Linked DNA regions of Lytechinus pictus. Each later gene encodes a partner of the first gene's protein in a complex. Links are inferred from orthologs where the notes say so. Each region holds a gene or a part of one and is shown in the gene's direction. Other genes may lie near its edges.

The links. The genes of interacting proteins can lie anywhere in the genome.
Region 2: dynein regulatory complex subunit 3-like (region 1) and dynein regulatory complex protein 10-like share a complex: the UniProt entries of both Homo sapiens proteins name them as parts of the nexin-dynein regulatory complex. The link is inferred for Lytechinus pictus from reciprocal best matches to the Homo sapiens genes DRC3 and DRC10.

What each region holds. Positions count from the first base shown.
Region 1 is NC_087254.1:18,110,674-18,118,548, forward strand, and holds the start of dynein regulatory complex subunit 3-like, read left to right. Parts: upstream 1-4,863; 5' UTR 4,864-4,953; intron 4,954-5,699; exon of another isoform or gene 5,700-5,750; intron 5,751-7,495; 5' UTR 7,496-7,560; coding exon 7,561-7,720; intron 7,721-7,875. UniProt on the Homo sapiens protein: Component of the nexin-dynein regulatory complex (N-DRC) a key regulator of ciliary/flagellar motility which maintains the alignment and integrity of the distal axoneme and regulates microtubule sliding in motile axonemes.
Region 2 is NC_087246.1:4,179,019-4,185,923, forward strand, and holds the start of dynein regulatory complex protein 10-like, read left to right. Parts: upstream 1-3,892; 5' UTR 3,893-4,225; coding exon of another isoform or gene 4,226-4,328; 5' UTR 4,329-4,846; coding exon 4,847-5,758; intron 5,759-6,439; coding exon 6,440-6,673; intron 6,674-6,905. Other genes in the region: two pore channel protein 1-like, read right to left, coding at 4,226-4,328. UniProt on the Homo sapiens protein: Component of the nexin-dynein regulatory complex (N-DRC), a key regulator of ciliary/flagellar motility which maintains the alignment and integrity of the distal axoneme and regulates microtubule sliding in motile axonemes.

The sequences.
Region 1 (7,875 bases):
TGGAGGGGTACTGTTTATAATCCAAACTAGATTATGCTCATTACCACTCTGGCAAAATATTGCATCAGATAGACACTAGACAGACGTGTTAGAGTTAGACTGAAGAATATTCTAGAGATCCAGGGACCGAGGGAGTGGTGATGACACATTTCGCAATGTTTTGGCCTGTTGGGACTAGTCGTAATTCAGACGTAAGCGCAAAGCATTAATTGCTTCTGGTACTCAAACTCCAGCAGGCAGCACCACCAGTGCTTCCACTCTTGACTCTTCCTGGAATTCAGGAAATTCGAGGAAGTTTTGTTATTTTCCAGGATCATTCCAGGATGTGAGAAATTCCAGGAAGTTATCATTTTCGGGAATAATATTATTTTCTGAATATTATGTCAAAATCTATCACAAAATTGGATCTTTTTAATTAAAATGTCAAAAATTTTGCTCGCTCGCAACTCTTTATAAACTTAGCCTGTTACGTCATGTTTCGCCCCCCCTCTAAATATTTGGCTCACTTACGCGGCACTGGGCCCTATATTCAATGGTATTTCATTTGTTTTTGTGTGTTTATAGAAGAGAATTATGACTTATTAAAGACTGGAGAACATTCGAAAAATTGCAGGATATTTTGTAAAATTGCAAGTACGGTACTTTTCGAGTAAATTCCAGGAAGTTCCGTTTTGAAAAGTGGAAGCACTGAGCACCACTGATATCTGAATAGTAGGCCTATACAGATCAGTGGGCAGCGCCCAACACTTGGGGGGAGCAACGGATCGCAAGTTTCATTTCATTTCCACAATTCCGAAACGTTAGAAAACGTTGATATAATAACATAACGCTAAATAGGGTACTAAAAATACAAAAAATATTTTAAAAAGAGGAGGAAAAAAAGGACCTCCCATTTTGAAGATGAATTTGATCAGATCTAGTCATTAACTACTCATTTTCGTTTCATGGCGGTGGCCTAATATCTTTTAAGGATACTGCCTTCAATTTAAAGGCTAAACTCAGGGGCTGATCCAGCTCCCGCCAATAGGGGGGGGGGGGCCGAAATTTTTTTCACCCATATTTTCCCCGATCGGCCGCTCAATGTTGATTTTTGTTTGTTTCTTTGAAGGGGTTGTCTCGGTGGCGTAATGAGCCAGTTTTGAGGGGCTTGATACGGCATATTGTGTAAAATTAATGAGAAGTTGCGAGCGAGCGAGCAAAAATTTTGACATTTTGATTACAAAAATCAAAGTTTGTGATAGATTTTTGACATAACATTTGACAAATATAGGCATATATATCACTTATCCCTTTTCTTTTCTCCCCATTTTTCTTGGTCGTGAACAATTGGGGGGGGGGGCAAAACGCCGATATCCTAACAGTCATTTCTTAGCTTTATTTTTATAAAACAACATAAAAATGTAATAATCTCTTCAGCCCTATTTGAATAATACAAGCGCAAAGCGCGAGCTGAAATTTCATGTATTTTGTCCTGAAAATTGAATATTCTGGGCAATGTTTGTGAACCTGAACAAGATGCGTATGTAACTAGATAATTACTGCGATAGCGAAGCCCGAGCAGAAATTTTCAAAATTGGTTCTGGCTTGATCGAAAAAGGACCTGTTAAGACCGATTTGCAGTTAGCCATTAAGACGATACATATTTCAACATTTAGATAATGCGAGAGCGAAGCGCGAGCTGAAAATGTTTTGACATTGCGAGCTATAAAATTGACATTCTAAGCTCTTTTTAAAATAAACGGCATTGGTGAAAAAAAACTAAACAATTGATGCGAGCGCAAAGCGCGAGCGAAAAAAAGATATTTCAGACCTAAAAATGGGACACTCTATTCATTTTTTCTAAATCATGAAAAAAGAAGTTCTTACATTAATAATGCGAGCGCAAACTGGATAATTTTAGCACGTTTTGAATAAAGATCAAGCTGCATATCTCAATAAACATGTGTGCGCCTGTTTTAGAGTTAGACAGAATCTGAGCATTCTGAATACATTTAATTTTTATCATGAAAATTGATAATGTGATCGCGAAGCGCGAGTGGAAAATATTTGATATTCCGATATAAAAAGGGTGAATTTAAATACTATCTAAAGCACTGTGCAGGGAAATTGTGAAGTATATGTGGATAACACTTAATAAATGATGCGAGTGCGGAGCGCTATAGCTGATATTTTTATTATTATTCTGACCTAGGACCTGGACATTCTAAGCCTAAGGACATTTTGTCATCATATGAAAATGATGACTATCTTCATATTCCTCTTCCTAAGCGCGATATGAAACTTGTCGAAATTCCTTTCTGAAACAAGGGACAATTTAGTTATTAGGAATTCATTAAAATTTTATTATCATATTTATTAATATAATAAGCCTAATTAGTGAGTAAAAATTTGTTGATATTAGAGGCCAGAAGACTGAATATTTCAAGCACTTTTGTAAGCATGAATAGGATTTATGAGTTGATATATTTTTAACTACTAATGCGAGCGCAAAGCGCGAGACTATTTTTTTTAAACTGTCGTAAAAGGGGGATTTTGAGTAGTTTGTTATAGAATTGATATATTTATAAAGGATCTTATGGAATACACAAAGACAATATGTAGGCCTACTTGGCAAAGCAAATAATGCGAGCGCACAGCGCAAAAAGCTGCAAATGAAAATTACACCATAAAACAGGCATTTCACAGAGCACTTAAAAAAAAATCAATTTTTAAATAAAAAATAATAATAAAAGCTCGATGTCCGAGCTGAAAAAATGTATTGACTTAAAAAAACTTGATATTTTAGCTACACATCAGCCTATTGAGCAAGATATGTATCACATCGAACACGGGCTATGCGAGCGCGAAGCGCGAGCGAAAATCTTATAAAGTCACATGAAATATATATTTTCAAATTATATTCCAAGTCTTTCCCTGACCTTATTTTATTCACTCGTCTCCCTCCTCTTATTTTTCCTCTTCTTTTGTTCTCCTTTCTTTCCCCTTCTTCTTCTTTCTTTCCCTTTTTCCCCTTTTTTTTGCTCCGCCAATAGGGGGGGGGGGCCTGGATCCGCCTATGAAACGTATTTGTTAATGCGAGCCGTCTGTGAAATAGGGCCTACGTCTATTCGACTGTAATTCCTATCGACTGAAATTTGGGGATTTCTGTGTTGCCTTTTTAAAAATTATTTATTTAGATCTTTTTTTTTTGGCTCTTTACAATGGTTTGTTAGCTTATGGGAGAGAATCGTCTCGTCCCACCGTGCCGTCTCGAAAAATTTTTCAGCCATATTTTCCCCGATCGGCCGCTCGATCGTAGTTGATTATATTTGTGCCTTATAGCCACTTCTTAGCTTTATTCTTATAAATCAACATAAATATATTATACTGTCATATTCCTTGTTTAGATAGTGCGAGCGTGATCGGAGCGCGAGCTAATTTCTTTTAAAATTTCATGTAGCACCCTATTCTGTCCTAAGATTCTGAACAGATGTGTATGCAACTGAATAATTACTGCGAGCGCGAAGCGCGAGCAAAAACTTTAAATATACGTTTTGATCTGATCGAAAAGTGACATCATGCTTGCAGTTAATTAAACATGAAGACGTTACATAATTTCAACAATCAAATAATGCGAGCACAAAGCACGAGCTGAAAATTTTTGACATTTCTACCAAAATTCCAAGCACTTTTTGTAATCGTGAACAGGATAGGTAGGTTTTACATAACCAAAGAATTGATGCGGAAAAATTCGAGATTTAGACCTAAAAACGGGACACTCTATTCATGCTTTGTAAACCATTAAAATGATAAGTAATTGGGGATCTTCCAACATTCATAATGCGAGCGCAAAGCGCGAGCCAAAAATTTTTGATATTCTGATCTTAAACTGGATAATGATTTAAAAAGAGAACAAGCTGTCTATCTGAATAAACATGCGCGCGTGTGTTTCCGATTTACTGGGTATTCTGAATGCATTTTTTTTAGGCAGACTGAAATAAAAAGAAATGTTTCATCGTCTATTTTTATTTTTACATTTTATATATATATATATATATATTTTTTTTTTTTTGGGGGGGGGGTGGTATTTCTCTTCATGCTCAGGGTTCGCGAAGCGGGGGGGGGGGGGCTGGGGGGCTTCAGCCCCCACTTTTTCCAAAACCGTGTACAAAATCGTAAAAATGACCACATGATTGTGATTTTTTGCATGGTCATGCAGCCCCCCCCCCCACTTTGAAAACCGTTCCGCGGCCCCTGATGCTATTCGTACTTCATGCCAGGGGTGGCTAATGGGGCCTTGTGAGACTTCCCCTTGTCCACAACTAAATGACTGTTTCTGGGGTTTTTTTTTTTGGGGGGGGGGGGAATTGTCTGTTTGTTTTCTTGTCAAAAAATTGAAAATTGAAAATATGCCTACATCCAGTATCCAGTCCATTTTTGATACCTCAAGTCAACTTAAAGTGGAAAGTAAAAAAGTCATATTTTAATGATGATAAGCCTACTGTTAATATGACATAATATAATCATATTACAAGTAAAAAGATCAACACAGTAAAATGAATAATATTCAAAACGAAATCAGAAGAATTGATATAGGGAGAGGGGGTTAACTAAAAAGCAGATCGAGCTGCTTGTACTGTGTATGCCCCCTGTAATATTAAAATACATGTATATCATATTAATTTTGTATTAAGAAAACAAACAAAAAAACGACTTAATGAATGAAATACGTAATAAAAATCATTGATAACTATGATAGTCTCAAGTTCTAAAAAGGCAAGCCCCCCCCCCCCCCCAAAAAAAACATTTCGATAGTACAGTATTAGTCGCTATCTGACCGCGTTTTTACATACGACTACGAGCGTGCTCATAATTCCGATCGCACTTATTGGTCGCTCATTTTAATCGCTCCATGACAACAATTGACGCCACATCAAGCAGTCCGTCCGGTCGGATTTAGGCATTATTAATTCTGTAAGTTATGACATTTGAGTTATATTGAATCAATTTTGTAATAATACTCAGTATTATCGAACGGTGAAATATGTTGGATTCCTGAAAGTCTATCACGGTTGAGGTTATTTTCAGTTGATCAATAGATGGAAATATTAAGATTTTAGTTCGGTCCCACGTGCAGAAATTTTTGTAAATGTAAGGCCCACGGCCATATTCTTTCTAGAACAAGATGAATAATTGAATCAATTGGCGGAGCTAAAAAAGGGGAAAGGGAGAAAAAAAAAGGAGAAGAGAGGAGAAAAGAAAAGAAGAGGGGGAAAAAAAAGCAGGAAGGTGATGAGTGATTAAGGTAAGGGGAAGGAATTAAAAAAAAAATTGATGACGATGTCACTGAAATTCAAAGTCAAACGGTCTAAAAAAAATTTTGCTCGCCCTCACATTGCATATTCGATGGAGTACATATCTGCTCAATTAATAGGCTAATATGGAGCTTAAAAAATCAAGCTTTGAAGTCAATAATAATATGCAAAACTTATTTCACTTTTCAGCTCGGACATCGAGCTTTCCTCATAATCACATTTTGTTTGGATTTAGTTTAGGCCTAGGCCTATAGTTAGATCTACAAGTTGATTTTCAAAAAGTGCTCTGTAATGTCTGTTTTCTTGTCTAAGTATCAACACTTACAGCTCGCACTCGTATTTCAGTCGTCAAGTACCTATTCTCTTTGTGTATTCCATAAAGTTCTCAAAATATCTCCTTTACAGGTCTGATTGTCAAGACCTATTAGCTAGCGCTGCTCAGTCGCATTTTGATTGGTGAGTAATGTAACCGGTACCTCTATAGTGTTAATAACAAACTATTTAAAATTCCCTTTTCATGACAGTTTATCAAATAGTTTAGCTCGCGATTTGCGATCGCATTAATTATTAAAAATATATATTAGCCCATGCGTCCTATTCATAATTACAAAGTGCGTAAAAGTCCAGTTTTCAGGCCTTAATTTCAACAAATTTCATTAGGTTTATTACATCAAAAAATAAGATAGAAACATTTTCATGACTTCCTTATAATTAAATTATCCCTTTTTTCAGAAGGGAATATCAGCAAGCATTATTATGCACTTAGGAAGAGGAATTGGTAGACAGTCATCATTTTCCATATGATGACAAAATGTCCTTAGAACGTCCCAGTCCTAGGTCAAAATAATAATAAGTTTAATAAAAATTTTAGCTCGCGCTTTGCGTTCGCACCATTTATTAAGTGCGATGCATATCCACTTCTCAATTTTCCTACTCAGTGCTTGAATTAGAGTTTAATTGACAACTTTTCAGATTGGAATACCAAATATGTTCAGCTCGCGCTTCGCGCTCGCATGATTGATTTTCATGATAAAAAATGTATTTAGGATGCCAAGATTCTAAGTCTAACACTTGCGCACGCATGTTTATTGAGACTCGCGACTTGTTCTTTATTTAAAACATGCTTAAATTACCCAGTGTCAGATCAGAATACCAAAGAATTTCTACTAGCGCTTCACGCTTGCATTATTAATGTAGGAAATACCCAAATTACCCATCCTTATCATGATTTACAAAACATAAAGAGTGTCCCGCTTTTGGGTCTAACTCTCTTTTTTTTTCCGCTCGCGCTTCGCGCTCGCATTGTTTAGTTATATACATATCCTATTCATGATTGCAAAAAGTGCTTAGAATGTCCATTTGTTCAGGTCAGGATGTCAAAAATTTTCAACTCGCTCTTCGTGCTCGCATTATTTGATTGTTGAAATATGTATCGTATTTATGGCTGACTGCAAACATTCCTTAACAGGTCCCTTTTTGATCAGACCAGAAAGTATACTGTACGAAAAATTTCTGCTCGCGCTTCGCGCTAGCAGTAATTATGTAGTTTCATACGCATCTTGTTCAGGATCACATACATTACCAAGAATATTCAATTTTCACGACAAAATACATGTAATTTACCCAAAAAAATAGCCCGCGCTTCGCGCTCGCACTATTTAAATAGAGCTTATGAGATTATTATATATTTATGTTGTTTTATATAGATAAGAAGTGACTACCCCTTCAAAGAACCAAACAAAAATCAATTTTGAGCGGGTGATCGGGAAAAATATGGGTGAAAACAAATTTCAGGCCCCCCCCCCCTATTGGCAAAGGCTAAATCTGCCCCTGGTGACGCATGTCTGCGCACCTAAATATTGACTGTAAAGCGGATTGAAGATTAAACCTGTCTTTCCTTAAAATTACACAAAAAGCTTTATTTCATATTATATTTTTTCTTATATTCTGGTCAAGAAGAAGCTAGTGATATAGTGCAAAAAATAAAACTTGTCCATAGATGATCATGGACTATGGCATGCCAAATTAATTAACTTCATAAAACTGTGATTTTTTTCAGATCTTGATGAAAAGTGTGCAAAAGAGACATCTACCAAATTTCATAGTAATTTATGAATTGGTTTTTGAATAATCATATGACTTTGTCTGCACATCTATTCATTTTGCACAGTAATTGAATTTTTTTTGCCTTCTATTTGCAGATCTCTGTGACCCTGTTAGGTTGATTAATTTTCTGGTGTTGATTGTGAGAAAGTGAATCGTCAATATGAGCCGGCTGTATGACACAGTGGAACCATCCGTAGTGGATGAGATAATGCTTCAGAAAGCTGTAGAGGAGCAAGGTCCTAAAGAAGAAGCAGGAAGAATAGCCAAGGCTGAAGGAATAGACTTTACAGATGTAACACAGCTCAGATTAGACTTCAAAAGTAAGGAAGTGTGTTCTGTGCTTTGAACATTGCCAACTCTATAATAATGTAAATTAATTATCTTATTGTCCCTACTAGACTTAAATAGTAAGGAAACATGTTAAAGGGGTTCTATGCTTTGAACAATGCCAAATCTGTATACTAAATTTGAATAA
Region 2 (6,905 bases), on another chromosome or scaffold:
TTTCTTTTGTAGAAATCGTTGTATTGCCCTCAATATTACAATTTCTGAATGTGCACATTATTGATGCAACCAGCCCTTGCACTGAGCCCTTTATTGTGAGGGTAAAGTACGTTTTTCATGGCACATGGAAACAGTCATGGAATTCAATTATTTTTTAAGTGTGCCTTGGCAATTTCAGAAGGGCACCACAGCATTGAGAGGTACACTTTACATACTGTACTCAATATAAGAAAAAAAAGTAATTTAAACAGAAGCAATAAAGGAATATTCATATTATAACAGTAGGAAATTAATTAGTGGTCTGTATTATGAGAGATCCCCTCTTATGTTTGTATGAGTTTTTTTCTTTGTCTTTCATTTTCATATTTTCCCGATAATCTCCATAAGCCCTTGTTCAATTTCTTTTGTCAAGGCCCTGTTAAACTTATTTTGGATCAGCAAGAATCAAGCAGAATCAGCTAGAATAAAAAAAATATAAACAAGTGGAACGCCTCTGGCAGTCTCGCCTGCATTACGTAATTCGAAATAGCAGCAGTGCTTCCTTTGAAAAAAAGATATTATGTCCATTGACCAAAAATGACCTTTGACCATGATCATGTGTCCTAAGGATTGTGCAAAACTATCATTCATACTTGATTACCCTTATGTCGATGTTTCATGAGCAAGTACCATAAACTCGTAAGTTATGATGCCATTTCAACACATACTCCCAACACGGCCAGAGTTCATTGACCTTTATGACCTTGGACCTTGGCCATGTTCCTGAAACACACACAGGGTATTCAGGGATACACTGCTGCTCTTATGTCCAGGTTTCATGAACTAAATCCATAGACAATTCCACAAATACCCCCAACATTACCAAAGTTTGTTGACCCTAAATGATTTCATGAGGCACACCCCCATCAAAAAATAATTTGAGTGCCCCCCCCCCCCCCCCCCGGGACCCACTCCTTGCCCTTTCTTGTAAAGCGCATGACCCATGCGCAATTCGCGTTCGCCATTTTGGATTCGGCGATGAATTAATACAAATTTGGTACTGCGAACTGGCTTCAAATCACCGCTGTGTAGATGAATGCAATAGAATCCCTGGCTTCGTGGAGAGTAAGCATACGTTAGTAAATGATTTTTACTCTCTAGAAGCCTCCTGGCTAACCAGACCGATCTCGTGTAGATCCCTCAATCCATTTGTAAAAAATGCAAATACAATAGGCTTGACCCTTGAACCACTTCATTATGACGTACCTTCGACAAGCGATGTTACAAAATGCCGTTTGAAGAACAATTTATAGATAAAAATTATTATTTAACAAATAATGAAATTTGAAACTTATTTATAAATAATTATTATGATTATCTATACTCACGTATTAAATTTTATTATTTGTTAAATAATCATTTTTATCTATAAATTGTTCTTCAAAATGGCATTTTGTAGCCTCAAGGCTAGTGCGCAGCCACTCACATGTATTGCGAGGTTAGTATACTAATACTAATGCACCTATCAATTGTAAGATGCACCCCCGACCCCCGGGAATGGTGTGTCATGGTAGGGTCATTTACCAACAAATTAGTGAAGCAGGGTACTGTCATAGAAACATTTGGTCCGTCACAGTTTGAGGATTGGGGTGCGTTAATGTCAGTCATGTTACCTGGGTGCGTCATGATGCCTCAGTGATACAAAAATTATTAAATTAATATATATTTTATATATCTTTCATTATGAACTCCCGTTCTCCCAGAAGAAATATAATTGACAAATTATTCCGACAACGTCGGAAAGGAAAATAAAACAGAATTGAAGTTGGTAACATCTCAGATTAGTTGGCGATCTATCGGGACATGTTTTTTAATTATTTTGAGGTGCTAACGAGTTAAAATATATTTCATATATATACCTTTCATTACGACCACTTTCTCTCCATTAAGAAATATTAAAGACGCATTTTCTCTTCAATGTTGGAAATGTAAATAAAACAAAACAGAAGTTGGAAACATCTTAGATTAGTTGGCAATCTATCAGGACATGTTTTAAAATTGTTTTGAATGGCTAACGAGTTAAATTATATTTTATATATCTTTCGTTATGAACTCCCGTTCTCCCAGAAGAAATATAATTGACGAATTATTCCAACAACCTCGGAAAGGAAAATAAAACAGAATTGAAGTTGGTAACATTTTAGATTAGTTGGCGCTCTAAGGACATGTTTTAAAATTGTTTTGAGGAATTAAAGAGTTAAAACATATTTCATATACCTTTCTTTATGACCGCTTTTTCTCTGTTAAGAAAAATATTAGACGCATTTTCTCGAAAATGTTGGAAACTTAAATAAAACAAAATAGAAGTTGGAAATATCTTAGATTAGTTGGCAATTGATCAGGACTTGTTTTAAAATTGTTTTGAACGGCTAACAAGTTAAGACATTTTATATAAGTTTCGTTATGAACTCCCGTTCTCCCAGAAGAAATATAATTGACGAATTATTCCAACAACCTCGGAGAGGAAAATAAAACAGAATTGAAGTTGGTAACATCTCAGATTAGTTGGCGATCTATCAGGAAATGTTTTTAAATTGTTTTGAACGTGTAACGAGTTACACTGTCAAAAACGAAGTGCTAATTTAGCACTTACAGTGCTTGTATAGTGACTGCACTATGAGCATGAGTGCTGATTTTCTCGTTCAAATTTAAACTAGAAAATCAGCACTCGTAGTGCAGTCACTATACAAGCACTTTAAGTGCTAAATTAGCACTTCGTTTTTGACAGTGTAAGATTTATTTTATATATCTTTCGTTATGAACTCCCGTTCTCCCAGAAGAAATATAATTGACGAATTATTCCAACAACGTCGGAAAGGAAAATAAAACAGAATAGAAGTCACAAACATCTCAGATTAATGAACGAATGATTGGGATATGTTTTAAAATTGCTTTGAGGTGCTAACGAGTTAAAATCTATATTATGAACTTTTTCGCATGAACCCTGGCCTTGATTTCCGAGAAGAAATGTAAATGGCGCATATTCCCGACATCGTCGGAAAGGAAAGCGTTCCCTTTGAGTTCGCCTCGGCCTCTGCTATCACCACGAGGTTGTATTGAAGAGAAAACATTGTCAGAGACTATAGCGAAATACATGTATCGCGTTCCATTGCATTTAGCTCGATTGTGCCCACGCAGCACTTGCACGCACGAGACATCACACTTCAGAGTCTAGTCTGAATCTGACTTTTTACTCTGACGAAGGTGCGTCAGGGAGACGGTCATGGTTGGTCAAAATCTTGAACTGGTGCGTCACTTTTTTCTTTCTTGGCAGGGTCATTGTAAGTAAAGGTGCGTCATTGTTAAGACACACATGTGCGTCACGCACCACACCACGTACCATAAAATCTGACTCACGTTTGACAAGTGACGCACCCTTCCCGGGGGTCGGGGGGTGCGTCATACAATTGATAGGTGCATAAATACTGGTGCGCAGCGGCAATTTTCCAGAGAGTAGGCAGTACAAAAAAGACTAAAAAACTTCTCTCACTCAGCTCAACTCAGTCTCTGCTAGCTGCTTACCGGTTTTACAATACACTGGACTAGAGTCTAAACTCTATTCTTCATGTTTCACTGGCTATTCCATATCCAAAATGAAAAAAAAAACGTTTTAAAATTTCTCCAGACAAATTGTTTTGCTGTCTAACTCTAACAAACACAGGGGCCGATTGCACGAAAGGGTCTTTCCAAGGACCGTCTTTCGTGTCGCCCATCTTTTATGATACGCCATGTGAAACGCATTTCAAATAAATTATCTGCAAATATATTTTATTTTTCCGTTAAAATAAACAAAATATTTGTTTATAAAATGATGTGATATTTCATGAAATTGTATAAAATTTGATTTAAAAGCAAGCTTACGAATTTTATTTGTTTATCATAAATTTCAGAAACACCCCGCTTATAGCGCATCATAAAAGATGGGCGACACGAAAGACGGTCCTTGGAAAGACCCTTTCGTGCAATCGGCCCCTGGGTAATTCGTAACGGCTAACGCGCGCAGGGCCGAGTCGCAGCTACAGACAGACAGTGTCAGTGACAAGGGGATTGTCAATGCAGTGCAGTGCATTAACACAAGCAGACGCCGAAGAGTTGAATTTGAGTCAATTAAAACGCAATTAAACCTATATCACGACTGTCACATTGACTTCAAATACTACATGTATCTACAGGAAGTATTTCTCACCACTCCTAACTGTTCTAAAGCTCTGACTTGGCTGTTGTTCAGCCAATAAAGGACTCTCAAGTTCTACTGAGACACGATTTAGGTCGTCCTCCAATTCCGCCATGTTTACATCCGTCAGCTGTTATTCTCGCTTTTCGAGGTGAGATTTGGCGAGATTTCGCTACACCAGTTGACCCCTTTCGACCTTTTCTCGGAAGTCACCAAGCAACGAAACCGTATTACACAAATACGAGCAAGCGGATGGATAATATTTCATGTTAAAAACTTACCATTTTGTTAAGCTTTACTATTTTTCATTACCATTTGTAATGTAAAGTCATCGAATTTTCGCAGATTTGAAAATACTCAAAATCGGAACAGATTTACACGGCAATTATGTGAGGCTTCATTTTCCCTTCGCGGAGGAATATTTACAAACAAGATTTGTGGTGCGGTTACTCTATTTACGTGTGTTGTCTATGAGATCGAGAGTGCTGGAGGTTCAGGAGGAAAGAACAAGTGTTTGTGGAAACAAATGTGGAATTCTGCATAAACTTTTGAGAGTTCAAATTAATTACCTTACCTAAAATTCAATCTGTGTAGTTTTTATCCGAGAGGTGGAAATACGTAACGAGCTGCAAGATGTCTTTCGCCGACATGGCTGTGATGGAGACGTTTCGTCTGCTCGACAAGGTTCGAGCTGAGGGTCCAAAAGAACGTCCAGAAAGACCTAACATAGATTTTCCACAGGTCAAACCACACAAACCGAATAAGCCAAAGGAATCAAAGAACCAAAGAACCGATCCTCTACGTATCCTAGACCCTGGAAGGAAGAAACTTACAACAGTTGAATCACAAAGAATTTTGGCAGTATTGGACGAGAGCATCAAGAATGCTGAGGTTGTAAGCTTGCTACCTTACGCTTGTGAAAATGTCAATCGTTTCAGCGTTGTTCTTGGTATCGAGACAGTTGTTACTATACAGGAGCATGAAAAGATCCAGAGTGCATTTAAAGATGCTGCAAAAAAACTTAGCGATTACAAAAATATGGACAAAGTCGAGTCTCGAAAATCTACCCCAGCAGCACGCGCAGCTGAGTCTGAGATACAACCCACCAATGATGATGAAGATAATTATGATGAAGTTCAGATGATTGAGAGCAGGAGGCAAACTCCATCCGATAGATTAGACAAAGTTGACTCAATTTCACTTATTGATGAGGAAGAAGTGCAGCTTTCAAAAATGGTGAATGTTCAAGCGCAGCAGTTGAAGTTTTCATGTAGAAATATCCTGCGGTTGCTGAGCTTGAACCCAGCAGCAGTCAATGCCCTGAGGTCTGAGATCAAAGAGCGAGGCCCAGAGTCTAGTTCTATGATTGGATACATGAAGGATCTGAGATCATTTATTCTGGAAAGACTGCTTACCACGCCCTTGGAAGAGAAAGAGAAAACAGATTATCTCAGGGAGATCACAATCAGGGAGCATAAGAATTCTGATGTCATCAAGAAACTTTCTGCTGAGCTACAGGAGGCAATTGAAGATAAAGACATGAAGGTATAAAGGGGAGATTCGAAACTTCTTTTCTTCTTTCTCTAATTGACATTCCCTCTACCTACTTGTATCCTATTCTTTCTCTTTCTAGCCCCCTTCCCTCTTCCATTATTTGCTATTGAGTAGATCTAGCCTACTAGTATTGAATTATGCCTGTCTGAAGGGCTTTTAAAACTTTGTTTTTTGGGGGAGGGTCTTTTTGGATTCTCCAATGGAGGAGGTGTAATAAAAGCAAGATCCCGGTACAGTGCATGTAGTCTAGTGGAACAGCAGACGAAACCATGACTGAAGCTTTTGGTCTGCTACTAGACTGCTAATTATTCCTTTTCTTTTTCACTTTGTTTATATATTATCATCACTTTTTTCTTTAAAAATAATTGCAGAAACTGTCTTAAATTGGTCAAATTATTTTGAGATTTGGATACCTTTCACACAACATTAGATATTTTTTTGACTGCTGACTTGAAACATGATCAATGCTTTCAAAAAAAGTAATTGCCTTGTCCTTGTCTATTGTTTTTTTTTTGTGTGTGTGTGTGGCATGCAGAGCTAAACACTGGCAGTATATTGCCCATACAAAACAAATCATAATTTTCAATTTTATTGTCAAAAAAGGAAAATCACTAGATTAAATATTCTTTATTGTTCTACTTTTTTTTTTTTTTTTTTTTTTACGTTCTACAGATCTCCAAACAAAATGATGAAATTCGTCGACTAAAGGGCGACCTCCACCAGTTAGAGAAATTCTCTGAGGAGCACATCAGGAGAACTAAATCAGAAGCTGACAAACAGCAACAGGCAGACTTCAAGAACTCTGAAGTCAAACAGACCAAGTTACACTCTGATCTTCAGGGTCTACGTACCCAGCTGACCAATCAGACATCAGAGCACAGAGAGAGCGAGTTAGCTTTGAGAAAAGTGAGGACGATTTTCATCTATTTGTAGATTTTGGGATATAAAGCAGTGGGAAAAATCAGTTAATTCAAAATACATGTAGCCCATCTGATATTTTCCTTTTTTTTCTATTTATTTCATCCAAGAATAAAATGTATTTTGTTGAAGACATTTGGTACTCAAAAATTTCTCTTTCTTAAAAAAATTCTACATGTTATATTAGTCTTTTTCAAACAGAATATGTATTATACCATTA